Oryctolagus cuniculus: one gene and its partners. The protein of the gene in region 4 interacts with the protein of the main gene of each other region in a biochemical or structural test. Links are inferred from orthologs where the notes say so. Each region holds a gene or a part of one and is shown on either strand. Other genes may lie near its edges.

Region 1 (3,500 bases), about 28 Mb from region 4:
GTTACCCTTAAGATTCTAGACATTTTATTGTTCTATTTACAGTTTGTTTGGAAGGTAATACCAAAGAACTAAGAGGTTCCCCATTTTATAGAGATACTACACACTTGTAAAGGACATGCACCTGGAACAATTTCCTACTGTTTCTAGCCTATGAAAAGAAACAACAAAAATCAGATGAATGAATAAAGAAAATGTGATACAGAAACAATCAATTATTTTACTGGTACCTTGGGAAGCTAAGAAGGGTCGGAACATGACAAGTTAGATGAAAGACCTTTGGACATTTTTCACAGCATAGGAGATCCCCTCCATTTTGGCAGACAGCACACCAGTCTTCATTTGGGTCATCATCTTTGCTATTGCCGTCTCCTCCAATCCTTGCCGACCTGTGCATGAGGCTTCTAATAGGGGACTTTCCATTAACCAGGCTGCTGAGCCCTGACTGTTTGCAGCTTTCATTCATATCTGTAGGTTCGGTTTTCACATGATTTTCCAGGCTTGTTAATGTATCCAACTCACTCTCTAGGTGCAGGTTGGTTGAGAGAGGTGGTGTCAAACTACTCTCAGGACTGCTCAACTAAAACAAAACAATGACAAATTCTTGAAGAACCATTTAATCCTTATTGTTTCACAATATTTACTTGAAAGTTCTGTCAATATCCATATAGATAAGGTGACATAAAATTATTTTGTCAATCATTTTAGTGACATAAAGGAATAAAAATAACCTTAAATTTATTTAAGCATGCTAATATGTAATCTTATGGGGTCTGCCCCTCTAATATTGATTCACTCAGATAACAAGGAAATTAATTAAACTAAGCACACTGATTCAGAAGTGAGCACAGGGTTATTCTCATTATAGGATACTATTTTTCACACGAGAATTTGCTCATGGCACTTCAGCAGCATTCTATAATAATCCCCCTTTCATTCTACTGATGTAGGAATATTGTGACAATGTAAAGGAAATCTTCCACACCTTTATGCACCCACTTTCATGGAGGTATTTTCCAAATCAAGTTCTGTATCAAGAGGTGACACTGTTCCAAACACAAGGATAATTCTGTTTCATGCTCTTTTGTTCTCTCTCAAAAATACACACAAATAGGGGCGACATTGTGGCGTAGTGCGTTAAGTCCCTGCCTGTAATGCTGGAATCCCTTATCAGAGAAGATTTGATTCCCAATTGCTCCACTTCCAATCCAGATCCCTGCTAATGTGCTTGGGAAAGCAGTGGAAGAAGACACTTATGTGGGAGATCTGGATGGAGCTTTGGCCTAGCTCAGCCCAGTGCATCATGGACACTTGAGAAGTGACCCAGCGGATGGAAGATCTCTTTTTCCTCTGTAACTGTGCATTTCAAATAAATAAATACGCACTTATAAAGTATTAAATATGCTAATACATTGAGATGAAATTCCCACGTGCCAGTCTGAGGAAGAAGAAATAACAAAAATCTAAACTGCTAAACAAAGAGAGGCGTGGGTCTTTCTTTATCCTATAGTCTAAATTTTATGAAATCTTCCATTTGCTCTAGAATGGTTAATAATTTGTAAGCAAAAAGACAATCTTCCCATCACAATAAACTGATCAATAAACTGTTTTTATGTCAGCAACATTAATGCTGAGCTCCTAAGACCAGGTGAACAGCTAAGGCTCTTTTGTGGCCTGAGATTCAATGTGAATACAGAGAATGATAAATAAATTCAGAATACGATAGAACCCGATTTATAACCATGGCAACAAACAAACAAACAATCAAAAAACTTGACTAAACAGAAATTCAAAGATAATTCCAAATGAGTACATAATACAATTAAACCTTTTCTGATTACAGCTGCCTTTTACCAACAAAGTCGAGTTGGAGAAGAGGTATATATATGGAGTATGCCAGGCGCGAAGCTGACAGACTCTGGGACCTCTTCTCAGTCTAAGAGACTCAGAGACGTAAGAATCAGTGAAGTGACTTTGGGAAATCCTTCCCAGACCACAAGGGTGCTTACCATGCAGGCACTCCTCCTGCCATCCTCTGTCTTTTCTTGTTTTACAGTTCCTGAAAAGCTACATATTTCATCTTCAGTCCCAGGTTCTTGCTTGACCTTCACTTGATCAGATTTGAAACTAAGACTTGTCTTCTCAGCAGTTCTTCCTGATGACCCACAGCTAATTAACAACAACAAATAAAGGTCACAAATATGGTACAACAACTATATAAGAAAATAACCATATTAAAGTGAAGACAACAATTAACCTCATAGAAGATAAGGACACCTCATAATGTGGCTAACAGAAATATGGTATTGACCTAGATTCAAACTGTTTGAAAATACAGATCAAACTTCCAAAAGACTTTCTAAAAATACATTTTCTGGTCTGAGGCACTTACAGTAAACCACTTAAGGAATCTACTAAACAAGGCCCATGCAGGTTAAGAATCCTTTATCTAAAATGTTTGGCATGAGAAGTGTTTCAGGATTTTTTTGAATTTTCAAGTATTAGCATATGCAAAGTAAGATATCTTAGGGGTGGATGATAAGTATATGGGTGTTCATTTTGTTAGATATATTTGAAGTTTTCTTAATAAAAAGAAAAAAATATGTATTAATAATAAATACTCACCTGCCTCTACTGCCAGTACTAGAGGTACTAGGAGGTCTCACAGGTGTGTGAGAATTGGATAAACCTAAAAAGTAAGTCAAAATAAAAATCAAGCCATATAGGAAGATTCAGAATTCTACTTAGTAGCTAAGGAACTCAAGGTTATAACCCTAACTTAGAAATTCCTGGAGATCAGAGCCAGCTGCAAAGTTAGGGATGCCAAGTATAACCATTAACCAGCTTTCTCTCAGTTGATCCCAGAATCCTCCTTTGGGATGGGCATTTAGTCTATCAGTAAAGATGCCCACATACCATGTAAGAGTGTCTGGGCTTAAAACCAGGCTCCAGGCTGGTGCCGGGGCTCACTAGGCTAATCCTCCGCCTGTAGCGCCAGCACTCCAGGTTCTAGTCCCGGTTGGGGGCGCCGGTTCTGTCCCGGTTGCTCCTCTTCCAGTCCAGCTCTCTGCTATGAGCTCTGTGGCTCGGGAAGGCAGTGGAGGATGGCCCAAATGCTTGGGCCCTGCACCCGCATGGGAGAACAGGAGGAAGCACCTGGCTCCTGGCTTCAGATAGGTGCAGCATGCCGGCTGTAGCAGCCATTTGGGGGGTGAACCAACGGAAGGAAGACCTTTTTCTCTGTCTCTCTCTCATTGTCTAACTCTGCCTGTTTAAAAAAAAAACAAAAACAAAAAAACAGGCTCCAGCTCCTATGTCCAGCTTCCTGGTAATGTGGATCCTGGCAACAACAGTAAGCTAAAGTAGCTGGGTTCCTGACACACATGTAGGAGAGCTGGGTTGAGTTCCTGGCTCCCAGCTTCTACCTGATCCAGCCCCAGTGGGCAGTGAGTTAGCAAATGGTAGTGATCTATCTCAAGTTAATTAATTATTTTAAATTAAGA
Region 2 (4,111 bases), on a different chromosome or scaffold from region 4:
AGAGACTGCTTTGTTTTTGCCCTCTCTCCTCCACTGAAAACAGAACACACAGCATGATTCCACCGGGACTGGAAACTCCGCGCAGCTATCCCGAGGTCTGGAAAGGTAACTACAGTTCAGTTTAGTGTTCTCTCTCTGAGCGGAAGGCTTATTTTGTCATTTTATTTTTCTTGCCTAGTCACTGTTTTTTTCCTCACAATGTGGATTTATTACTTGCATAACTTTTAAAGTCTACATCTATTAATAAAATGAACTTGCAACATAGCCAAAGCCCATCTGAGACCTAGGTAAGTATACCATTTGGAGAAAAAATGGTCACAGAAACACTCTGCCCTTCGATTTTATTGCTATTTCTAAGAAGGAGGTTTGAACAAGGGATAGATACTTATGAGTATACAACACCAGGTATATTCAGGAATCCTATTTAAAACCGATCTTACAATAAGGCAGACGATGAAAGTTTTCTTTCAAAACACCAGGCATGGAAACAAGGTAAAAGTAGGACACATAAAAAAGAAAAAAAGTCCCTGGTATCCTGTAGGTCTTATTAGTTCACTCCATCAGCATTTACTCTCTCTCACTTAAAAGAATGCTATCACATGCACTGGTCACATTTCTTTCCAGAAGTGACATAAAGAACTTGATTGGGACCTTTGGTAATTAACACAAGCCTCACAGCTGAGAAAACTAGAAGAGACTTAACCACAGGAAAAACAGACTTCAAAAAAAAATCAGAAAACTAAGTAACAAATATCTACAAGTTTTTTAAAGCTAATTAAAATTGCAGAAGGCCAGGCAATAAGCTTGAGAACAGATTTTGTATGACAGCTGTAAATAAAGTTTCACTTTAAATTCCTAAAATTCTCTTTAGGTAAAAAAAGCAAGCTCTCAATTCGGTGGCCCAGTATTTCAACTATCGTTATTTGTGGAATTAAAAAAAAAAAAAAGCAGTAAATTTGTACCTAAAACCGTTCGGCTTCCTTCTTGGATCCCAACTGTTGAAGAACAGCACTAGATACGAGACTCCCTGTTATTCAGAACGGGAAGTGCTGCCTTCAAAGACGGGGCTACTCTGAGACTGGTGCTTACTAAACTACTCCACGGGGTCCGCTGGAAACGGAGTCAGGACACAGGCCACGACACACTGCTGATCGGGGACCCAGCGAGCCGCCTGAGGGATTTCTAAAAAAGTGCCGAGGGACAGGCAGGAAAGCAACAGCAACTGCTGCTCGCGCAGGGAGCCGGCGTCTTCGGAACGCCGCACCGGATCAAGGCATTTTTATTCTGCAACCACATCCCTTGCCGCCTCACCACGATTTTTCCCTCAATAAAAAGTTTTGATTTCCTTAAAGAAAAAAAAAAAAAACACCTGCAAAACCCGATGCACAGGCTTAAAGGAGCCGCGATCACCGAATTCGGCCAAGCCTCGCTTCCTGACCACGGAGCAGGAGAGCACCGAGCTCAGACACAGAAAACCTCACAAAACGGAGCCCCGTCCAGGGGGACGCCCTGCGCTCGGGGGCTGCCCGGCGAGCCGCAGGGACGCGTGTGCGGCCGGCCGGAGCGGCCCCGGCGCTCGCCTGCAGCCAGCCAGGACGTCACCGCCGCCAGCAGCAGCCGCGCCGTCGGAAAGGGCCCACCCGCGCCTCTTCCCCTCCCCCGAGCAGGCAGGCGCTCGGCCTGCCGGGCGGATCCGTTTCTCCTTTGACTCGTGCCCGCTTGGGGCAACCGTACACCCAGCTGCTCGCGGGCCTGCCCTAGTCCCTCCCCAGACCGGCCCGGAGCACCCAGGACCGGGCCGATCCCCCGCCACTCCTCCTCCTCCCGCACCCGCGCCCGCCCCGCCCCGCGCGGGAGGCAGCCCGCGGCCGCCGGGCCCGGCGCGGCAGGCATCGGCCGCGAGCCGGAGGCCCCGGGCGGCGGCGGCAGGCCTGCGCCATGGCCGGGGCCGGGAAGCGCCGCCCCCGCGCGCCTCCCCGCGCCCGGCCCGGCCCGGCCCGGCCCGGCCCGGCCCGGCCGGCGAGCGCCCGCCCGCGCACCCTGCATCCCCGGCAGGGGCGGCGGCGGCCGGCAGGCCCGCGCGGCGGCCACGCTCACCTGGATGACCTCGTTGACCTCCCGGATGCACTCCACCATGTGCTGCAGGATCTGCTCGGCCGTGAGCACCTCGTAGCGGTAGTCCTCCTCCTGCTCGTGCCCAGGCCCGCCGCCGCCGCCGCCGCCGCCGCCGCCACCGCCGCCGCCCGGCCCCAGGGCGCTGCCGCCGCCGCCGCCCGTCTCCCCGCACAGCAGTCCGTCCCGCTCCCCGCCGACGCCCAGCCCGGGCTCCACCAGCTCCACCTCGCCCAGGTCCAGGTTATCATCGTCCGGCTCGTCGTCGTCCTCGTCCTCCTCCTCCTCCGCGCCGCTGTCCTCCTCGCTGCACTCCTCGTCCTCGTCGAACTCGTAGTTGTAGCCCTCGTCCGAGTCCATGGCGCGGCGGACGCTGGCCGAGGCGGGGAGAGGGCGGGGACGCCGAGGCCCCGGCTCTCGCTCCGGCTCCGGCGGGTGTCCGGGGCGCAGGCCTGGCTGCGGCCGCGCGGGCCGCGGCTCCTCCCCGGCGCGGCGGCGGCGGCGGGCGGCTGGCGGCGGGCGGCGGGCGGCGGGGACGGCGCGCGGGAGGCGGCGAGGGAGGCGGCGAGGGGCCTGTGGCCGCCCGCCTCAGTCAGACGCCGCTCCGCTCCGGCCTCCGAGAGAAAACAGCCCCCAGCGCCACCTCCACGGCCGCTGCTGCCGCTACTGAGCCAACAAAGGGGCGTGCGTCACCGCGTCGCGCTGCGTCGCGCGTCACGCCCGTACGTCACCGCGCCCCGCCCCGCCGCCCCTGCGCGCCGTGTGCGGGAAACCCCGCGGCCCGGCCCGCCAGGTCGGCGAGCGCCGCGGCGCCCCAGGGTCCGTGGTGCGGCCGAGCGGCTCTGCGGGGCCGGGGCCCGTGGGGGTGGGGTGGGGGCGCCTCCCACGAGACGGCTGCGGCTCCGTGGCCCCGGCGGCGGCTGTGACCGCGGGGGACCCGTCCGTCCCCTGCGCGGTCCAGGGGGACCGGGCGTGACTCCTGGCAGCCGCGGCTCTGGACTCGAGCCCCCCGGGCCCCCGGGCCGCTGAACTGTGGGGGTTGGGGGGCGCGGGATGCTGCGCGCGCGCGCGCGTGGAACCTACGCTGTGCGGCAGGTGCAGCTCGCGCCCGTGCCCCCGACGGTGACGTCACGCGGCGGGCGCTGCCTGGGGCCCGAAGCTCCGAGTTCGCCTGGGCTCCGCTATCTGCGCGCCGGACGGGGCCCGAAGCCAAAGGGGCCGGGCAGGCCACGGAAGGCGCTCCCTGTGCTTGGGGGGGGGTTGCTGGACAGGCGTCAAAACGCTTTGTAAGGACCCGGTGCGGTACGCCGGGCACCGCCCCACAACGCGGCGCCGGTGGGGGCGCGGGCACCTGCGTCCTGCGCGCCCAGGGCAGGCGGGGTGCGAGGGAGCGAGCAGGACAAGCAGGTGCACTGGCGAGGTGCTGGCACGGCTCCGATGCCATCCTGCCAGTGGACTTGGCGTCTTTGTAAACAGGAGAGCCGGGGAAACACGCGCAGCCCAGAACATCCTATCAAACGCCAGGCGCTCGGTGTCACCCAGCAACCCGTGTCGCCCCCTTGGTAACTCCCGTTACACCTTTGCTGGTTTCCCCCAACCCTGCTCACAGCAGAGAAATGGGGAAAACACAAGGACCAGGAGCGAAGCAGTGGAAGCCGGCCGTTGTTGCAATGGGAAGCGTTGCAGGGTTTTAGAAGAGTGAACTTGGGATCTGTGTTCCCGAAAAGAACCCTGGCTCCTGCGTGCAGAATGGGCTGTGAAGGCAGAGACCGGTTAGGAGCCCGTCTTAGAAGTCCAGGTGACCACAGGGCCTTGAGCTCGGGCAGTGGCAGGGCAGGTGATGAGAAGAGACCGGATTCTGCCTTAATTTGAAAGGGGGGCCAGCACCATTGGCTGCGGGTCTGGCGGTGGGGAGGGCTCCAGGATGCCTGCTAGACTTGGGGTTCATCAAAGTTTGGTGGGGTTCTGAAACCAGTGAAGTGGCAGGGGCTTGTTGGGT
Region 3 (3,500 bases), on a different chromosome or scaffold from region 4:
CATTTGAATTAAGTACTTCATTATATAATGAAGTTCTAAAATGTTCTTAGGTGCCAGGAGAATAAACATATTTGGACAAAGTACCTTTATTTTCATATTTTCTAGCCATGTATATGTGGCTAGAAGTCACTTGTGCACAACGATACGAGCATACTTAATGCAACACTGAAAGTGTGCACCTAACAGTTTGCTAAAATGGTACATTTTATGTATTTTTCCACATATCCAGACCCATACACCACATGCAGTCTCTTGATAAATGACTTAGGCTTGTTTGTAAAGTGCTCACTTCTCTATGCCAGTAACGTAAGTGAGATCTACATTCTGGTGGTCTAAACTGTAGCAGTTATAGAAGGAGTCCCTGCCAAGTTGTGGGTTTAGCTCTTTTGGAAAGACAGACTCTAGATAACTAGCTGTATTTGGCATATGCTTGGATTTTAAAATGGGTGATGGTAAATTATGTAGAAGAAAAGGGAAACAGTATTTGAAAAATTTGTTTCCAGCAGCTGTATAAAACTTCGTTATCCAATTCTGTCAATTCATATGGCCCATGAGAGGTAAACTTTGGAGTCGGTTTATTGTTGCCAAAAATACCAAGCTGGTGTATGTCCTAATAAGGCTTGGGCAATGATACAGTTAGACTTGTTTTACAATATGATGCTATTTTAGATGTATAACTGCAATATTTATTTTAAAATAGTTTAATAATATCTCTTTACTTTTAGCCGGCAAAACCAGTTAAAAGATCAACAGCAACAGCAAGTGGTGTCATTATGCCCTGATGACACAGAGTGTCTGACAGTCCCAAGGTACAAACGAGACCTGGTTCAGAAACTAAAAATTTTGCGGCAAGAACTCTCTCAGCAGCAGCCTCAGGCTGGCCACTGTCGCATTGAGGTTTCCAGGGAGGAGATTTTTGAGGTAAATTTTACAAGTCTTGTTTTAAAACAAAGAAAAGTTAAATTTAGCATTTGACTTTCTGCTTTCCAACAATACTTTTTTGGAACTCCTATCTCTTATAGAAGAATTTTCATTAGCTTTTAATTGTGGGAGATGAAAACAGTATATTTGGAGAGATTTCATAAGTAAGATAAGCTATTAAATGGGATGAAGAGTGTCACAAGTTCAGCTGGTTCAGTTTTGTCTCTGTGAATGCTTGGTGAATTTTTAAAGGTCACAGATATTATCCATCCCTTGCTAATTCTTCTGAAAGCTAAAGGTCGGTCTCTCTCTCTCTCTCTCTCTCTCTCTCTCTCTCTCTTTTAAAGATTTATATATTTGAAAAGCAGAGTAATGCGGTGGTGGTGGGGTGGAGGAGGGTGATCTTCCATTCACTGGTTCACTCTTCAGATGCACCAGGGGCTGCATCACACTGAAGCCAGAAGCTTTATCTAGATCTCCCACATGGGTGGTCAAGGCCTAAGCACTTGGGCCATCATCAGCTGCTTTCCCAGGCACATGAGCAGGGAGCTGGATCAGAAGTAGAGCACCTGGGACTCAAAATGGTACTCATAAGGGATGCTGGCATTGCGGTGACGCCATAACATCTGCCCCAAGGAGGACTAAGTCTTTTGTCTGATTATTATTGGGATACCATAGTTATTTTATTATATTTTAAAGGCTTAAAAGCAACATTTATCAGAATCAAAGACCTCCAGCCAGAGTGAAATGAATGGAAGAAGGCTGCAATAGAAGCAGAAGCCCAAAGGACCCCATGGCACTGGGTTTTTTAAGTACAATTTCAAAAGAAAAAAAATTGACAGATTGGCATTCAGTTACCAGGCAGGGACAAAACCCATCAAAAGACTTGATTTACAATCCTTTATTGTATCTGGCTTGTTCATGATAAAATAAAAAGCCATCCAGAAGGGTGGGATAAGTAACTTGTTTTCATAATAAACTGTGAGCTCAGGAATATGCAATCACCAATCCCTTGCTGAAATTCTCATGGTAAATTTGGAGATTCTGAAGGAGGGAGGGTGGACATTTTGCACTTGCTAAAGATAACCTTTTGGGGGGAAGCCTCAAATTCCACTGGGACCACCCTGACTGCCTATTAACCCATCTGACTCATCACATTCCCCCCTCAACAAGAATGGGCCCTTACATCTGTTAGGGGGACTGGACGATGATTGCTTCGGCTGCTTCATGTTGAAAAGGGGCGTCGTTGGGAAGGGCAGTCAAGACAGGGTTCCAGCTGGAGGCGGTTCTCTAGGGGGATGCAGTTCTCCAGGGGGATGCAGTGCCAGCTTGCAGAAACTGCTTCTGTCCAAGGTTCCATGTGCATGGCCACCTAGAATTTTACTTTTTCAAATCTGGAGAAAACAAATCTAACAAGTAGTTTTATCTCCCAGGATCTAAAACTGAGGACAGAGTCTTTTTTTTTTTTTTTTTTTTTTTGACAGGCAGAGTGGATAGTGAGAGAGACAGAGAGAAAGGTCTTCCTTTGCCGTTGGTTCACCCTCCAGTGACCGCCACAGCTGGCGCGCTGCAGCCGGCGCACCGCGCTGATCCGATGGCAGGAGCCAGGAGCCAGGTGCTTTTCCTGGTCTCCCATGGGGTGCAGGGCCCAAGCACCTGGGCCATCCTCCACTGCACTCCCTGGCCACAGCAGAGAGCTGGCCTGGAAGAGGGGCAACCGGGACAGAATCCGGTGCCCCAACCGGGACTAGAACCCGGTGTGCCGGCGCCGCTAGGCGGAGGATTAGCCTAGTGAGCCGCGGCGCCGGCCCCAACTAGGTTTTAAATATTTATCAAATGAATTGCTTTCAGTATGATTAAGCTTATACCCATTGTTTCTTAAAATTCTGTGACGTTTAAAACACTTGGAGTTTACCACTTGATTTAGTGAACATTATTTCACTTTATTTAAATAAAATTATGTTTTGTAGGCAGAATGTAAGAGTAAAGATTTAAATAGTTGTAGGCTAAAGGCATGAAATAATATATTTAAATTTTTTTTCAGGAATCATATCGGCAGGTTATGAAAATGAGACCAAAAGATCTGTGGAAGCGATTAATGATAAAATTTCGTGGAGAAGAAGGTCTTGACTATGGAGGGGTTGCCAGGTAAAGACTTGCTTGTCAATTAGTGATGTATGGATCTTTGTACTTGATTTTTTTTTTAAGATTTATTTGTTACTTGAAAGAGTTACACAGACAGAGAAGGAGAGGCAGAGAAAGAGTTCTTCCATCTGCTGGTTCACTCCCCAATTGGCTACAATGGCTGGAGCTGCGCTGATCCAATGCCAGGAGCTTCTACCAGGTTTCCCATACAGGTGCAGGGGCCCAATGACTTGGGCCATCCTCTGCTGCCTTTGCAGGCCATAGCAGAGAGCTGGATCGGAAGTGGAGCAGCTGGGTCTACAGTCTTGGACTGGCGCCCATATTGGATGCCGGCACAGCAGGTGGCAGCTTCACCCACTAAGCCACAAAACAGGCCCCTGTACTTGATCTTTATACTTGCAGATTTAAGTTACTTTCTGGGATGTAACTTTTCT
Region 4 (3,645 bases):
AGTCAGACCAGGAGAGATATTCTATCTGCTGGTTCACGTTCCAGATGCCCACAGCATTCAGCGTTGGGTGAGGCCAAAGTCAAGAGCCTTGAACTCAGTCTGGGACCAACTCCTTGAGCCATCACCAGTGCTTCCTAAGGTGTGCATTAACAGGTTTCTGGAATTGAAAGTGGAGCTGTAACTCCAAACCAGACACTCTGATATGAACACAGGTGTCTGAAGTGGGGACTTAACCATTGAGTTTAATAATACTTTTAATCTTCTACCTGAAGTAGATTTTTTTCAGTTATTCTTCCAGTGAGTATCTGTGGTTGGTAAATTTTCTCTTTGTCTGAAAATATCTTAATTTCTTTTTTTTTTTTTCAATAGCATTTTATTCATTCATGTTAAGTCACCTGAAATGATCTGTTTTAAATGCTCATTAATGTAAATGGCTGAACAAATCCATTTCAATGGATACTCAATATCCCACATAGTTAAGTCACTTCAACACAGCCTCATGACAACTCCCACACCAAAACAGTACTTTATTTTGTAAATTTTGACCCATTATTACTCCCAAGTTATGTTTTTATCAGCTGTCAAGTGTACAAGGTGAAGATAAGTTTTAGTTAGATGGGGCTACACCTGGAAAATAAATTTCTTAAAACTCCATATACACGCTTCAAAACTGCTGGGTCCCAAGTCCATCTATGAACTCCAGGGCTGCCAGTATCACGGTGCAGCATATTAAAGCTACACTATCTGAATAGCTTATTAATTCTGCATAAATCAGGTCAAGCAATGTGTCAACCTGTAACAGACTGTGCACTCTAACTGAACATGGCAAAATATTCATTCTTTTGAACTTTACATCATCATTTGATGTCAAACAATGAAGCAAATCCCAACAGTATATACAAAAAACAGCTTTGCATTTACAAAAGATTGTTTCCTATACTGATTAATCCAGGCAGCTAACTCATTGGTTTATGCAACTTTATTGAAGAAAAATAAATCAATTACTAGCAGAGCTATTAGTTGATCACTCATCCATTGACAACTTGCATCATTTATTCAGTGCTATATTAAACAGTGTATTGGAAGATAGATTAACTAATAGCTCCAAGCCTCCTAACAATTTAAATGAAAATTACAAAATGTTTGAGACCCTATTTTGGAATACAAAGGGTGTTTGACTTTCAATTTCCATTCTCTGTAGAACAAGAACAGGTCATTCCTTTATTGACATGCATAAAATACATCACATTTTCTGTTCTGCTGATGCTATAAATTCAATACCAATTCTCCAGCCACATCAGTTATGAGCATAAAGTATATCATGTAACCTCAAATCTCTAACAGTGGAAGGCTTAAACAAGAATGGATGCTGCTAGAATAATGCTGCTTCCTTTGATGTGACAACTGAGCATCCATCTCCCTCCCTCTCAGATGATTTCTTCAGCATGTTAGAGCAGTGAGGAATGGTTTTAGTCTCATAACCAAGTTAGAGTGAAGACATTGGCCACATAATACACATGCTCCATTTTTTTAAAAAATTCTGAATCTTGGGCAACTGTTCTCTTGTAACTACTTTACAGTTTCTAAAAGCAGTTATTGTCCAAAGCTGGAAGAACTTAAGTCTTCTCAGATGAGCATGTGAATGAATGGAGGGAGGTAAACAAAAAATAAAATTAAAAAAGATGAGGTCTGATAGGGGAGCAGCCGGATAAGAAAATCAAAAAAGGAACAGTAATTTAAAGTTTATTCCAGCTATAATGCAGGTTATTCTGACTTTAAGGTAGCATCACATGGCATACTTCTGAGTCCATTCCCGAGATATTCTGTTGTACTTATCTCTGTCTGTTTTATAGATCCGTGCAATCTCTGGCACTAGGGGGTCATCTGGGTTTGGATCACATAGCAGTGAACAAATGGATAAAAGAACTTTAGAAATAGTTAAAGCAGGAGACCACTGTGATCTTAGAATATCGAGACAAATGCTGCCATTACTGTTAATATTTGGATGATAAATTCTTGTTGTAAATGCAACCTTAGGTGGTTTGAAGGGGTAGTCTGTAGGAAAATGAATTGTCAAAAAGAATACACCGCCTTGATATGGGCTGTCATTAGGTCCCATAATTGTGGCTTGCCAGTGAAACATATCATCCCCAACTGGACCTGCAGAACATTGTGCTGGAGGGTCACGGGCCAAATCACTAAGTTCCTTATTAATCCGTTTCAGCGCCATAGTCTGTGCTTTTAGTCTGGCTCCTCTCTCCCTCTCTCGGTGTATGCTCAGAGGTCCGGCCAAAACTCTTGATTATCCGGGCGGCGGGGAAGGATTGTCTCTTGGTCTCACGCCGGCTCTGCCAGACACAGGCGCTTGGTATGGAGGCGGCGGGTATCGCGAGAACGACGTGGACGGCTCGAAAATATCTTAATTTCATCTTCACTCTTGAATATTGGTTAAAAATGCTGTGGAGTTTTAGTTTGATAGGAATTTTATATTGAGTAAATTTCTCCAAATATTTAGCTTATCATACTACTGAATCGGTATGCTTTCTAATTGATCTTTGTCTTCCTACCTTCTGAGTCTCTTTTCATGACAATTTGTTTTTAACAGCAGTTAACTTCACAAAGGGCTCCATTGTGAGAAAGCAAAGGAAGATGGATAAATTCAGTTTCTACCTTCTCTTGCTGCAGTCATATTTCTTTCTTCTACATTCATTGTTTTCCTTTCCTGCCTGGAAGTTGGGTGCCTGTGGCAGACTTGAGATCTATATCACAACCTTATTCATTCCCTGAAAATTTGGCCAAGAATGGTGTGAGGTGGAAGCAAATAGAGCATTTCAGCTGTGAGAGAAAAATTATTGGCGTAAGGAAACAAATGTAATGAGCCAGAAACTGGATCAAGCTATACCAGCATGAGAAATAGTCACAACATCTAATGTGACCCGCAGAGATAAACAAGATTTGACAAAGGCATTTTGTATGCACCAATCAGTCTTTCAGCTTATTCAGGAATTAGGGCCTGAAATATAGAGATCTTAGAACACTCAGAATCCTTGACCAGACATAAATAATGAGTGCCCATTTACAGTGGAAGAAAATTAGTTCTATAAAACTGAGAGACTTGCCAATATTAGCTGCCAAATTAACAATATTGAGGAGCTCGATTCAGTCATTGCCAGTCTCTCCACCAGGACCAAACATCCTGACTTTTTCAGCACATGAGGGGTTATCAAAGCATTACCAAGATGTTGGCACTAAGAACCAGCCTCCTGTTAGATGCATTAACTCATACAAGTAACAAAGGAGGATTCCTTAGCCATCCTCTTCCATTTAGTTTTCCCTGAAGCAACGAAAATTCTAAAAGACAGATGAATGAGCTCTAATAGCACATTTTGTTTAGATTTATTTTCATTTCAATTCTTACATGCACCAACTACAAATCATCTCCTGCATAGGTGGTGAAATTGCTTGATTATAAGCCAGAAAGAACCAGCTTGCTGTAAGATATTTTGAAGTCCTATGACGTATCATCACCCTTCTAACAGGGATTACAATAATAGCTGGTACTTACTGAATCCATATTGTGGGCTTGGCACTGTGGCATTTAACATAGGGTGTTTGATTTAATCCTCACAACAGTCATACAGCATG
Region 5 (3,500 bases), on a different chromosome or scaffold from region 4:
AGTCAAGGGTGATGACTCAGCTAGTTGGATTCCTACCACTTATGTTAGAGACCTGGGTGTTGAGATTCCGTCTCCTGCCTTTCCTTCCCTCTCCCCCTTCACAGCCTTTGTGATCACTGGGTAAGTGAACCAGCAGATAGAAATGCTTTCTCTAGCTCTAGTTCTGTCTCAAACTTTTTAAAAATTTAATTATACAATCTGTTTAGTTTTTGACATATGTGTAGACAACCTCAGGCAGGATGCAGACTGTTACCACATTTTTAAAAAAAAAAAATTTAGGAATTTATTTGAAAGGCAGAGTTACAGACAGAAAGAAGCAGAGACAGAGTTATCATCCATCTGCTGGTTCATTCCCCAAACGGTCGCAAAAGATGGGGCTTGGCCTGGCTGAAGCCAGGAGCCAGGAGTTTCTTCTGGGTCTCTCACAAGGGTGCAGGAGCCCAATATCTGGGGTCATCCTCCACTGCTTTCCCAGGTGCATTATCCAGGACCTGAATCGCCACCTATCTGGGAAGCTGGCTCTGCAGGCCATGGTTTTAATCCACTGTACCACAGTGCCGGCCCCTGGGTTTAATTTTGAAGTGAGGTGGAGGTGTTAAATTGTGTGCTCATCTGGTTTACGCCAGCATCTGCAGCATCTCCTTAGGGTCAGAACTGGCTGGGGAGTCCTCATACCTGTGGCGTTTTGCATTTCCTTCCAGGTCAAGGAGCTGGTGGAAGCAGAGTTATTTGCCCGCTACGACCGCCTTCTCCTGCAGTCCTCCTTGGACCTGATGGCAGACGTGGTGTACTGCCCCCGCCCGTGCTGCCAGCTGCCTGTGATGCAGGAGCCGGGCTGCACCATGGGCATCTGCTCCAGCTGCAATTTTGCCTTCTGTACCTTGTGCAGATTGACTTACCATGGGGTCTCTCCGTGTAAGGTGACTGCAGGTATGTCTGAATGCATGGACTGAAACCGCCTATCCCTTGCTTGCCGTCAAAGCCCTGCGAGTCCAGTTCTTCAGCCTAGAGATAGGCATTCAACAGACATTTCTTTGCTGGTTACTGTCCTGGGCTCTGGGGATGTAGTAGTAACCAGAAGAGACAGACTCTCCTAAGTCCCTCATTCTTAGGGACTTGGACAGGCAGACAAGGTAAATAAGGACATTAGGTGGCGGTGAGTGTCAGGGAAGCCCAGGGAGTAAAGCAGAACAGCACTTGAGATGTTTTGAAGGCAAGGTCCTTGGGATTTTAGGTAGAAAGACCAAGGGCGCCCTCTGGCAGGTGGCCTAAGTAAAGACTTGAAGGTATGCATGTGAGGGGGGACATTGTAGAGTAAGAACAGTGAAGGGATTTCCTCTGTGAACGTGAGCATGGACTGTGTAGGGCCCGGGTGGCAGATGCAGGGCATATAAGCTTCCACTCCTGTATCCACTGCAGCTTCGATGGATCAGTCACCAATCACTTTCTTTTTTTTTTTTTTTTTTTTTTGACAGGCAGAGTGGACAGTGAGAGAGAGAGACAGAGAGAAAGGTCTTCCTTTGCCGTTGGTTCACCCTCCAATGGCTGCTACGGCCGGCATGCTGCGGCCAGCGCACTGCGCTGATCCGAAGGCAGGAGCCAGGTGCTTCTCCTGGTCTCCCATGGGGTGCAGGGCCCAAGCACTTGGGCCATCCTCCACTGCACTCCCTGGCCACAGCAGAGAGCTGGCCTGGAAGAGGGGCAACCGGGACAGAATCCGGCGCCCTGACCGGGACTAGAACCCAGTGTGCTGGTGCCGCAAGGCCGAGGATTAGCCTAGTGAGCCGCGACTAATCACTTTCTCACTGAGCCCAGAGAGGCCCAGAATCTTCCTACTGTGGCCCTTCAGAAAGGCACCCTCTGTTAAGTTGGCACAGGTGGTGAAACCTGTTTGCCATTTCTGATCTAAATAAGGAAATTTAGGCCTTTAGTGATGGTTTAACTGGGCTTTGATGGCTTTGTCTCTCAGACTGATAAGGATGATATGATAGTGATTTCACAGGTTATTCTCGAGATCCAGTGGCCTAAGTACTGCCACGCAGAGGAGTTGTACTTAATGATCTGATGCAGATATATCATTGCATATAGAAATCAAGAGTCAAGGTTAGAAACTTTAATAGTGATTTCACAGAAGCATTTTGTGTCAGTCGTGTCTGATAGAAACTTGGGCTTGTACTTTCTTTTTACTTTCATTCTTTCCTTTGATTGCATTTTGTGAAGTATTTAGCCTTGACAGATTGGGTATGAGAAACAAAGCAAAAATGGTTCTTGCTGTGGATAAGTTGAGAAACAGTGGGCTAAAATGTGTAAAATGGAAACTGTGTGTATTGTTATGATGATTAAAGATTGCCAGTGTCACAGAGCATCATTGTTTACAACAAAGTGCCCTGATGAGAGAGGGGAGTATAGCATTCTGCTTGCCGAGGACAGAGCCTTGTGAAGGGTAGGGGCAGGCCATGTTGGAAAGTATGAAATAATAACAGTTTCGTTATTTTGAGAACATTAGAGCAGAGGCCTTTGTCCTTAAGATGTGAAGAACCAGAAAAATGTTTTAATTTATTAGAGGGATAAAAATAACAGGGTTAAAAGCATCTGTGCTGTAGAAGTAGAGGAGACACAGGGCTGGCATTGTGGCGTAGTGGATAAAACTGTCAGCTGCAGTGTCGACATCCCACATGGACACCAGTTCAAGTCCCAGCTGCTCTACTATCCAGCTCTCTGCTGTGGCCTGGGAAGGCACCCGCATCAGAGATCCAGAAGAAGCTCTTGGCTTTGGGTTGGCTGAACTTTGGCTGTTGCAGCCATCTAGGGAATGAACCAGCAGATGGAAGACCTCTCTCTCTCTTTCTCTCTCTCTCTCTCTGCCTTTAAAATAAATAAATAAATCTTTAAAAAAAAAAAAAAGTAGAGGTGACAGAGCGATGGGAGTGCATAGCACACAGAAGGATTCAGAGAGGAAGGGAAAGACCACCGAGAGAATTTTGTCTCAGAAGTGTTCATTGCGGGCGGTGTTGTGGCATAGAGTGTTGAGCCGTGGGCACTGATCTGTGTCCCAGTTGCTCCACTTCCAATCCAGCTCCCTGCTAATGGTCTGGGAATAGCAGCAGCAGATGGCCCAAGTGCTTGGGCTCCTGCCACCCATGTAGGGGACCTGGAAGAGGCTCCTGGCTTCAGCTTGGCCTTGCCCCGGCTTTTTGGGCCACTTGGGGAGTGAACCAGCAGGTGGAAGGTCTCCCTGTCTCTCCTCTCTCTGACTTCCAAAAAAATAAATAAATCTTCAAAAAATATTCACTACTTTAGGGATCAGCGATTTGGCGCAGCTGGTTAAGTTATCGCTTAAAACGCTAGCATCCCATATCAGAGCCCCGGTTTCAGTCTTGGCTGCTCCTCTTCTGATTCAGTTTCCTACTAATGCACCTGGGAAAGCAGTGGAAAATGGCCCAGCCTTGGCCTTTGTGATCCTTTGGGAAGTTAACCAGCAGATGGAAGATTATCTGTCT
Region 6 (3,500 bases), on a different chromosome or scaffold from region 4:
CTCTGATTTAAAGCAGTGGGGAAAGAAAGGAGCTTAATGCAATCAGCTCACTTTCTTTCTCCTCCCTCTGGTGAACTCCAAAAGCTGTAGAAGATTCTAGGGTTTCTGGATCTTGCATCAAAAGGGTCAATTCCCACAGCAATTTAATCTAGTTTCTGGAATAGGACCTACGGCCTCCAACGCAAATGTTCACTTTAAGGGCACCAACTTCAATCTAAGTCATGGGAAATTATTTTAGCATCATCTAATCTCTAGCAAAACAGAGCAGTAGTTGCCTCTGGGAAAGAGAATGGGGTGGGAGGGCAGCAGGTAAACCGTTTGCATTTTGCTTCATAAATTATCTATGCAAAAAAAATTAATAATAAATTAAAAATTTTAAAAATCTTTAGTCCTCTTTCTGTGATTTCCTGTACCTTGTTGTCCATAATTGTCCACTGGCCCTCAGGATTCTGCTTCAAAACACAGTGCTTTCTGGAAATCATCAAAGGGCAGACTTTTGACACCAGTTGGTATGTGACACTAAATCCTCGTCCCAGAGACACCTAGGAAGGTAACAACAATGAAGAGACACAATCAATCATTATGCGAAATAGGGAGGCCCTCTACAAGCTTATCAACTAGTGTGGTACACAGATCCTGACCTACGAAACCCGGATTCCTGCAAAACCTACATAGATCCTCGGCGATTTCCTCTTCAGCTGCCACAAAGCCAGCACACAGAAAAAGGAAAGAAGTTACAAAAAGAAGAAGCTGAAAGGGATTAACCATGGAATGTAAAGGTTAGGAGGTCCTGGAAAGGTCATCTGGTTCAATCACCCATGACATTAAGGAATTATTTCCACACATCCCAATCAACAAATCTAAAACACAGCCAAGAACCACAGCGTTTAGATGAGACAGGCCCCCTGCTTTTCCAGTGGTCCTTTCTCCCTATACATTCCATCCATTGGCTGAGGCTCTGTCCTGGGCACTATCAGAAAATCCCCAACTCCCTTTCCAAGTCACAGCTATCTACCAAGTCTTCTCTCTTCCTGGCTCAGGAACCTAGTTACTTTAACCTTCCTCCAATGTACGGGTTTGAATCTCTGTCATTCTAATTGATCTGTGAAAGGACTCCTAGCTTATCTTTATTCCTGGATGTGGGGAGCAACCCGGACTAGACTGAGTTACTGGAATTAAGACTTATTCTATGCATCTGCTCTCCCACAATATGGCGCTGGGAGAGAAGAAAACAGCTTCTACACAGCTGCCTCCAGTTCAGCCAATAAACTGTAGGACTCGCTCCTGATTGGAGGAGAGCAGCGTACTCGGCGTGTGGGCAGCCGAGTTAGGATTGGCGGAGGAGGACTATAAAGGAGGAGAGAGACGGCATGCACCAGGAACATCTAAGGGGAACACCTGTGCAGCCCCCGAGAGAGCCGGCTGGCAGTGTGCCGCTCCCCTGCGGAAGTGGGGAATGTGGCCAGGGGGAACTGCCCTTCCACGGAGGTGGAAGGGACAGTAGCCAACCCGGGAAGAACCAGCAGCAAACCCGGGGAGGGCCGAGCAGACGAAAGAACAGCGCAGGGTCCTGTGTCGTTCCTCCACGAAGAGGGGGAGCGGCATAATGGTGCCATGACTCGGATATGAAGCCTAGGCAGGGTTTAGTGTCGTTCCTCCACGAAGAGGGGGAGCGACACCTGGATGCCATATTAAGAAAAATAAACTTAATTTCCATTACATAATCAAGGCCAAGCATCACTTTCCCAGTTCTTGATATTACCACTGCAGCATATAAATGGCATTAGCTTTCAAAGCAGATCCAGTGCCCTGGAAGGATATCCTCAAACTTAGAGATGTTTCCCCTCCCCCAAGAACTGCTATGCTAAATCATGTTTCTTCCAGCCTGTACTTGACTAGTTGGAAAAATCTGGATTCCAGTGCAGGACCTTACATTGATCCCTATTAAATTTCATCTTGTTAGTTCAGCCTATCACACCGGCTTGTCAAGACTTTTCTGATTTTTAATCCGCCATCAGATCAGACATACTCAATATTCCTTGCAGCTTTAAATCATTCACCAAATTGATATGCTTTCTGTACCTTCATCCAAGACACAAATATACTGAAATGGGATGTAGCCAAAGACAAAGCTCTCAAGAAAGCTTCTACTAACAGTCTGAGTGTAGCTTCAGTCATAATCCAATCCGAGTTTCTGCACTGAGTCCAAGTCCTCTGTCTCCCACAGGGACAAGGCTGAACAGAACGCTAATTCCCAACTGTCATGCTTTCCTGACTGACCTGTCTGGTTCACACAGCCCAGCGAAGGTGGGAAGTGAAACTCTTCTGTCATCTAGGCTTAGAATTCCATGCTTGCTGTTCTCAGTGCATAAACCACCTCCTTAATGATCCACATTGTAAACGTAGCTGGCAACATTAAATTAAAACCTGTGGTTTTTGAAAAACTACTCTTTATCGATTTTAAAATCTTCAGATTCACGCCTGTTTTCCTCTGTCCCTCAGACTGAGGACCGTGACTCTCTCTGACCTAATCTATTAGGTTTCCACAAACTCTCATCTCAGTAACCGACACTGCCATCTATACAAACTGCTCAGCCCCAAACCCACAAGCCCTCTTTGATCGATCTGTTCCTCAGCCCCAGATCTCAACTGGCAGCGATTCTATGGCAGTGACTCAAACACATCTCAGCCTACTCATTCCTATCCCCATGACCCCTACCCAAGTCCAAACCACTGGGCTTCTTGTTCCTGTTCTCATCCTCCTTAACTCTGTTCACACACACACCGGCTGGAGTGGTAATAAGAACTTTAAATCAGGTAACTTCCTTTCTTCCTTTAAAATCTTTCAATGATCCAAACTTCTTCCCAAAGCCGTAAAGCCGCCAATGTCCTGACCGCCTTCATGCCTTTCCCTTAGTGCCATGCACAGCCCAGACGCTAGTTGTTTCAGCCATCAGGCCTTCTCTTCATTCTGTCACCTCCCGCTCCAACATCCACTGACCTGGGAGCCTTCTCCCTTGTCCACTTGGCTTGGGGCACTCACTTCTCAGATCTTTATGCGGTGCTTTGTCACCTTTCAAGTTTCAGCGCCTCAGGTCTTGTTGCTATCTGCTCCCCTCCCCCATTGTATTTCTTCATGTTATTAGCATGCAGTTACCATGATCCAAAATTATCTTGTTTTACTTTTCCCTTCCCCTTTATTAGAATATGAACATCATAAGCAGGCACTTTATCTTTTTTTTTTTTTTAACAGCCAGAGTTAGACAGTGAGAGAGAGACAGAGAGAAAGGTCTTCCTTCCTTTAGTTTACCCCTCAAATGGCCACTACAGTCAGTGTGCTGCGCCGATCCGAAGCCAGGAACCAGGTGCTCCTGGTCTCCCATTCGGGTGCAGGGCCCAAGCACTTGGGCCATCCTCCACTGTCCTCCCGGGCCACAGCAGAGAGCTGGACTGGAAGAGGAGCAACCGGGACAGAATCTGGCGCTCCAACCAGGACTAGA
Region 7 (4,172 bases), on a different chromosome or scaffold from region 4:
CTTCAGCCCTTCACTTCCTCAGAGAAAACCCTTTCCTATTCCCCTCCGTACACCGCCGCCCGCTCCGTGAACTCATACAGCATCCCTCAGCTGTCCAAAGTACTTAGCACAGTAGAAATGTCACTCGGTCACTCAGGACACTGCTCACCACGGCTCTCCATGCTAAACCTTCCAAGAAGGCGGGATCATCTGTTTGATTCATGTTTCTCGCCCCAGGACACAGCACGGTGCCAAGCACAACGCTGCCACTTTGGCAACACTTTGTGAATAGGCAGCATTCACAGGTACAGATGGACAACTAGTGAAAGACTCCGGAAACACTGAATTCAAGTCCTGACCCTGACCTTCAATGTGACCAAGTAAGCTGTTTTCAACATCTTAGTTTCTTCCCCTTAGAAATAGACAATGAGGCCAGTGTTGTGCATAGTAGGTTCAAGACCAGGCTGCTCCACTTATGATCCAGCTCCACGCTAACGGCCTGTGAAAGCAGCGGAAGATGGTCCAAGTGTTTGGGCCCCTACCACCTCCCATGTAGGAGACTCGGATGAAGCTCCTGGCTTTGGCCTGGCCCAATCCTGGCTGTTGCTGTCACCTGGGTAGTAAACCAGCAGGTGGAAGATCTGTCTCTCCTCTCTGTAAGCACGCCTTTCAAATAGGTATTTAAAAAAATATATTAAATAAAGATAATGGGGCCAGCAGTGTGCTGCAGTGGGTTAAACTGTGACACTGGCAACCTACGTCAGACGCCTGTTCAAGTCCCACGACACTTCCAATCCAGCACCCTGCTAAGGCACCTGGAAAAGCAGCAGCAGATGGCCCAAGTACTTGGGCACCTGCCACCCACGTAGGAGACCAGGATGGAGTTTCTGGCTCCTGGCTTCAGCCTGCCCCAGCCAGTTGGCAAAAACAATGGATGGAAGATCTCTGTCATTACACCTTTCAAATAATAATAAAAAACTAGCTGGCGCCACGGCTCACTAGGCTAATCCTCCACCTGCAGCGCCGGCACCCCGGGTTCTAGTCCCGGTTAGGGGGCCAGAGTCTGTCCCAGCTGCTCCTCTTCCAGGCCAGCTCTCTGCTGTGGCCCGGGGAAGGCAGTGGAGGATGGCCCAAGTGCTTGGGCCCTGCACCCCATGGGAGACCAGGAGAAGCACCTGGCTCCTGCCATCGGATCAACACGGTGCGCCGGCCGCAGTGGCCATTGGAGGGTGAACCAACGGCAAAGGAAGACCTTTCTCTCTGTCTCTCTCTAGCTCTGCCTGTCCAAAAAAAAAAAAAAAAAAAAAAAAAACTCTAGCCTGAAGTAAACCAAGACTCCACTAGTGAGCGTAATCAATACTAGCTCATCCTCCCGTCAGCAAACACTCCTCTCCCGCCCATCCTATCTGTATGCTTTCAGTCTCCGAGTCAGAACCCAAATCATTAGACTTTACTACAAGGCCTTCAAAGGTTTTTTTTTTTTTACGATTTACTTATTTGAAAGTTAGAGTTACAATGACAGAGGAAGAGACAAAGAGATTCTATCTGCTGGTTGACTCCCCAAATGGCCACAACAGCCAGGGTTTGAGCAGGGAGGCAGGAGCCAGACTCCTCCGGGTCTCCCACGCAGGTGCAGGGGCCCGACGACCTGGGCCACCCTCTGCTGCTTCCCCAGGCCACAGCAGGGAACTGGATCGGAAGTGGAGCAGCCGGGACTCCAACTGGTGCCCGTACAGGACGCCTGCAGCGGGTTAACTCACAGAGCCACTCAACAGCTCTCTCTTCAGAGGGGTCCCTGTGTGCAGCGTCTAGCGAGGGTTACGCAGGGGTGCAAACTCTGCCCTAAGCCCGCCAGCCTGCTCCTCCAACTCACCACCATGCCCTACCCACAGGGCACAGTGAATTAACCGGACACAAGGCAAAGCCACGGAGGCCACTGCTTAGGCGACCTCCCCAAGTCGGGAAGAGGCCGGGGGCTTTTCCCTGTCCTCTTCCCGCCTCCTTCCAGGGCACGGAGACGATGTTCTGTCTGCACGGTCGAATCCCCAAGGACGACTGCCCCCAAGTCGCCGACCGCGACGACTGGAGCTGGCACCGGTTCGGAGCGGCCGCCAGGCTCCACAGCAGAGGCCAGAGCTGTCTCGGGGCCGGGCCGCCCGCGCGCCCCGCGCCGCCCCGGGACCCCGGCCCCGCTCGGTGACAGGCGCCAACTTCCGCCGAGATCCCGGGACCGACGGCGAAAGGTCGGCACCCGGGGGCTGCGGGGAGCAGGGTTCAAAGTCGCGGTCCGCCTCCTCCGGCCGGCCGAGGCCGCGCGCGCGGCTGCACGGACCCCGCGGGTTCCAGCCCGGGACCGGCGGAGCGAGGACCCCCGAAACAGACGCGCGGGCCGCCCCGCGCAAACTTCCCGAAGTGGCGGGAGCGGGGCGCCCGGACGCCCGCAGCCCTTCCGCCCGCTCCAGCCCCGGCTCCAGCGGCTCGGCGGCGTCCTGAGCCGGGCCCAGACCCCGGCCCGCGCCCCCTCGGCCCGGCCGCCCTCACAGCCAGCCCCTCGCGGCCCTGGCCCCCGCCCCCACTCCCACAGGGACTCCCACCGGGCGGCGGGCAGACAGGCCGCCTCGCCTCAGGCCCCGCGGCCAAGCCGGCCTCGCCACCCACCTCGCCGGCTCGCGACGCGAGCTCGCCCGGCCGCCCGCCGCCGCGGCGTTCAGTCAGCTGGCTCTACCGCCGACAGGTCCGCCACCGCCACCGCCGCCGCCGCCGCGCTCCTTCCGGCCCTGCCGCGGCGTCACCTCGCGCCTGCGCACAGCGCCCCCTCCCGACTGCTGACAGGAAGAACCATAGAGGCACGCGGGGCGCTGGGGAGGAGAGACCATAGAGAGGGCCGCCTAGCCGCGCCCCCCTGCGGCGGGCCGCCCGCGGGGCCTCGACTCCCCCACGAGGCGGGAGGACGAAAGGACGGGAGGCCCCCTGCTCGACCCCTCTCGGTGGAGAGGAAGGGATTGGAGGGCAGGTGGCCGTGGGAGGGCCAGGTGCCCGCTTATTTGCAGCCCCCGCCTTTGGTAAGTCGCCCATCGCTTCCTCGCGAAGTGCCCTGACGGCTGCGTGCGTGCTGGGCGCTGTTCGTAGGAATGGCGGGTGCCATACTTGAGGAATACTGTGACGTTTTAGTTGGGCGGCCAAGAACTAACTAACAAGACTGACTCAGGCAGGGTGTGTTGAGGCCGCAATTCAACCCAAGGAGGGTGGGGGGAATACATAAAGCAATAATAAATAAATAAAGCAATGAGAAGGGGTAGTGTGGGTGGCTGGAGAAAGCCATTTCCCCCAGAAAAGCAGGTGTTTGAGCCAAAACTTTGAAGGCGGTGAGGGCTTGAGCCGTGGGGACCACCCGGGCTAAGAACACCTCCATAGAATGATCTGGAAGCGGGGAGGGGCCGCTGTGGCGCACTCAGCTTCCCGCGCGAGTCCGGGCGGCCCCACTTCCGACCCAGCATTCCTTTCTCCTGCTTCCCGGAAGTGCTCGTGCCCCTACCGGCCACGTGGGAGACCCGGATGGAGCTCTTGGCTTCCGCTGCCGCCATTTTGGGAGTGGGCCCGCGGGTGGGAAATGGCTGTCTCCCCTCCTCACTGTAACGTTGCCTGTCAGATAAAATACTTAAAAAACAAGGAGAGAGGGGCTGGAGGGTTAAAGCCCCGGCCTGCGGCGCTGGCGTCCCATACGGGCGCTGGTTTGAGGCCTGGCCGCTCCACTGCCGACCCAGCTCCCTGCTAATGTGGGAGACTCGGAGGAAGCTCCTGGCTCCCGGCTGCGGATCGGCTCAGCTCCGGCCGTTGAGGCCATCTGGGGAATGAACCAGCAGATGGAAGACCTCTCTCTCTGTCTCTGCCTAACTCTTTCGTTCAAGTAAATAAAAGTAGGGGCAGAGGCCCTGCACAGGCATGTGTCCTCCCTCCCCCCCAGGGCTGCAGCATCCAGGTGTTCCCCGCGGGGAGCAGGGGCGTGAGTGGTGTCTCCGGCTGCTGGGAGAGTGTAGAGAGGGCCGGGGAGAAGCAGGAAGGCCGGTCTGGGGCTACTGCAGGAGTCTAAATGGCAGACCGTGCTGGCAGACTGGTACGGTCGGGGAGGGGGAGGAGGCGGTGGCAAACGGACAGACCTGCAGGCTGTGTGGTGGCCACGCTGGTATCCCTTA

Evidence for each region.
Region 1: the proteins of ubiquitin-conjugating enzyme E2 D3 (region 4) and TRIM33 form a complex in vitro, tested with the Homo sapiens proteins (2 studies listed by BioGRID). The link is inferred for Oryctolagus cuniculus from reciprocal best matches to the Homo sapiens genes UBE2D3 and TRIM33.
Region 2: the proteins of ubiquitin-conjugating enzyme E2 D3 (region 4) and ARIH1 form a complex in vitro, tested with the Homo sapiens proteins (2 studies listed by BioGRID). The link is inferred for Oryctolagus cuniculus from reciprocal best matches to the Homo sapiens genes UBE2D3 and ARIH1.
Region 3: the proteins of ubiquitin-conjugating enzyme E2 D3 (region 4) and SMURF2 form a complex in vitro, tested with the Homo sapiens proteins (12 studies listed by BioGRID). The link is inferred for Oryctolagus cuniculus from reciprocal best matches to the Homo sapiens genes UBE2D3 and SMURF2.
Region 5: the proteins of ubiquitin-conjugating enzyme E2 D3 (region 4) and RNF14 form a complex in vitro, tested with the Homo sapiens proteins (2 studies listed by BioGRID, with this or other methods). The link is inferred for Oryctolagus cuniculus from reciprocal best matches to the Homo sapiens genes UBE2D3 and RNF14.
Region 6: the proteins of ubiquitin-conjugating enzyme E2 D3 (region 4) and RNF8 form a complex in vitro, tested with the Homo sapiens proteins (4 studies listed by BioGRID). The link is inferred for Oryctolagus cuniculus from reciprocal best matches to the Homo sapiens genes UBE2D3 and RNF8.
Region 7: the proteins of ubiquitin-conjugating enzyme E2 D3 (region 4) and RNF216 form a complex in vitro, tested with the Homo sapiens proteins (2 studies listed by BioGRID). The link is inferred for Oryctolagus cuniculus from reciprocal best matches to the Homo sapiens genes UBE2D3 and RNF216.

Annotation. Positions count from the first base shown.
Region 1 is NC_091438.1:55,985,968-55,989,467, reverse strand, and holds part of TRIM33 (E3 ubiquitin-protein ligase TRIM33), read right to left. Parts: intron 2,687-3,500; coding exon 2,623-2,686; intron 2,167-2,622; coding exon 2,007-2,166; intron 578-2,006; coding exon 228-577; intron 1-227. UniProt on the Homo sapiens protein: Acts as an E3 ubiquitin-protein ligase. Promotes SMAD4 ubiquitination, nuclear exclusion and degradation via the ubiquitin proteasome pathway. According to PubMed:16751102, does not promote a decrease in the level of endogenous SMAD4.
Region 2 is NC_091443.1:110,729,969-110,734,079, forward strand, and holds the start of ARIH1 (E3 ubiquitin-protein ligase ARIH1), read right to left. Parts: upstream 2,801-4,111; 5' UTR 2,473-2,800; coding exon 2,098-2,472; intron 1-2,097. UniProt on the Homo sapiens protein: E3 ubiquitin-protein ligase, which catalyzes ubiquitination of target proteins together with ubiquitin-conjugating enzyme E2 UBE2L3.
Region 3 is NC_091448.1:14,171,750-14,175,249, forward strand, and holds part of SMURF2 (E3 ubiquitin-protein ligase SMURF2), read left to right. Parts: intron 1-725; coding exon 726-921; intron 922-2,965; coding exon 2,966-3,069; intron 3,070-3,500. UniProt on the Homo sapiens protein: E3 ubiquitin-protein ligase which accepts ubiquitin from an E2 ubiquitin-conjugating enzyme in the form of a thioester and then directly transfers the ubiquitin to targeted substrates.
Region 4 is NC_091438.1:28,033,138-28,036,782, forward strand, and holds ubiquitin-conjugating enzyme E2 D3, read right to left. Parts: upstream 2,404-3,645; 5' UTR 2,231-2,403; coding exon 1,787-2,230; 3' UTR 501-1,786; downstream 1-500. UniProt on the Homo sapiens protein: Accepts ubiquitin from the E1 complex and catalyzes its covalent attachment to other proteins. In vitro catalyzes 'Lys-11'-, as well as 'Lys-48'-linked polyubiquitination.
Region 5 is NC_091437.1:29,528,012-29,531,511, forward strand, and holds part of RNF14 (E3 ubiquitin-protein ligase RNF14), read left to right. Parts: intron 1-701; coding exon 702-930; intron 931-3,500. UniProt on the Homo sapiens protein: E3 ubiquitin-protein ligase that plays a key role in the RNF14-RNF25 translation quality control pathway, a pathway that takes place when a ribosome has stalled during translation, and which promotes ubiquitination and degradation of translation factors on stalled ribosomes.
Region 6 is NC_091436.1:132,279,698-132,283,197, forward strand, and holds part of RNF8 (E3 ubiquitin-protein ligase RNF8), read right to left. Parts: intron 543-3,500; coding exon 414-542; intron 1-413. UniProt on the Homo sapiens protein: E3 ubiquitin-protein ligase that plays a key role in DNA damage signaling via 2 distinct roles: by mediating the 'Lys-63'-linked ubiquitination of histones H2A and H2AX and promoting the recruitment of DNA repair proteins at double-strand breaks (DSBs) sites, and by catalyzing 'Lys-48'-linked ubiquitination to remove target proteins from DNA damage sites.
Region 7 is NC_091450.1:39,630,311-39,634,482, forward strand, and holds the start of RNF216 (E3 ubiquitin-protein ligase RNF216), read right to left. Parts: upstream 2,801-4,172; 5' UTR 2,638-2,800; intron 1-2,637.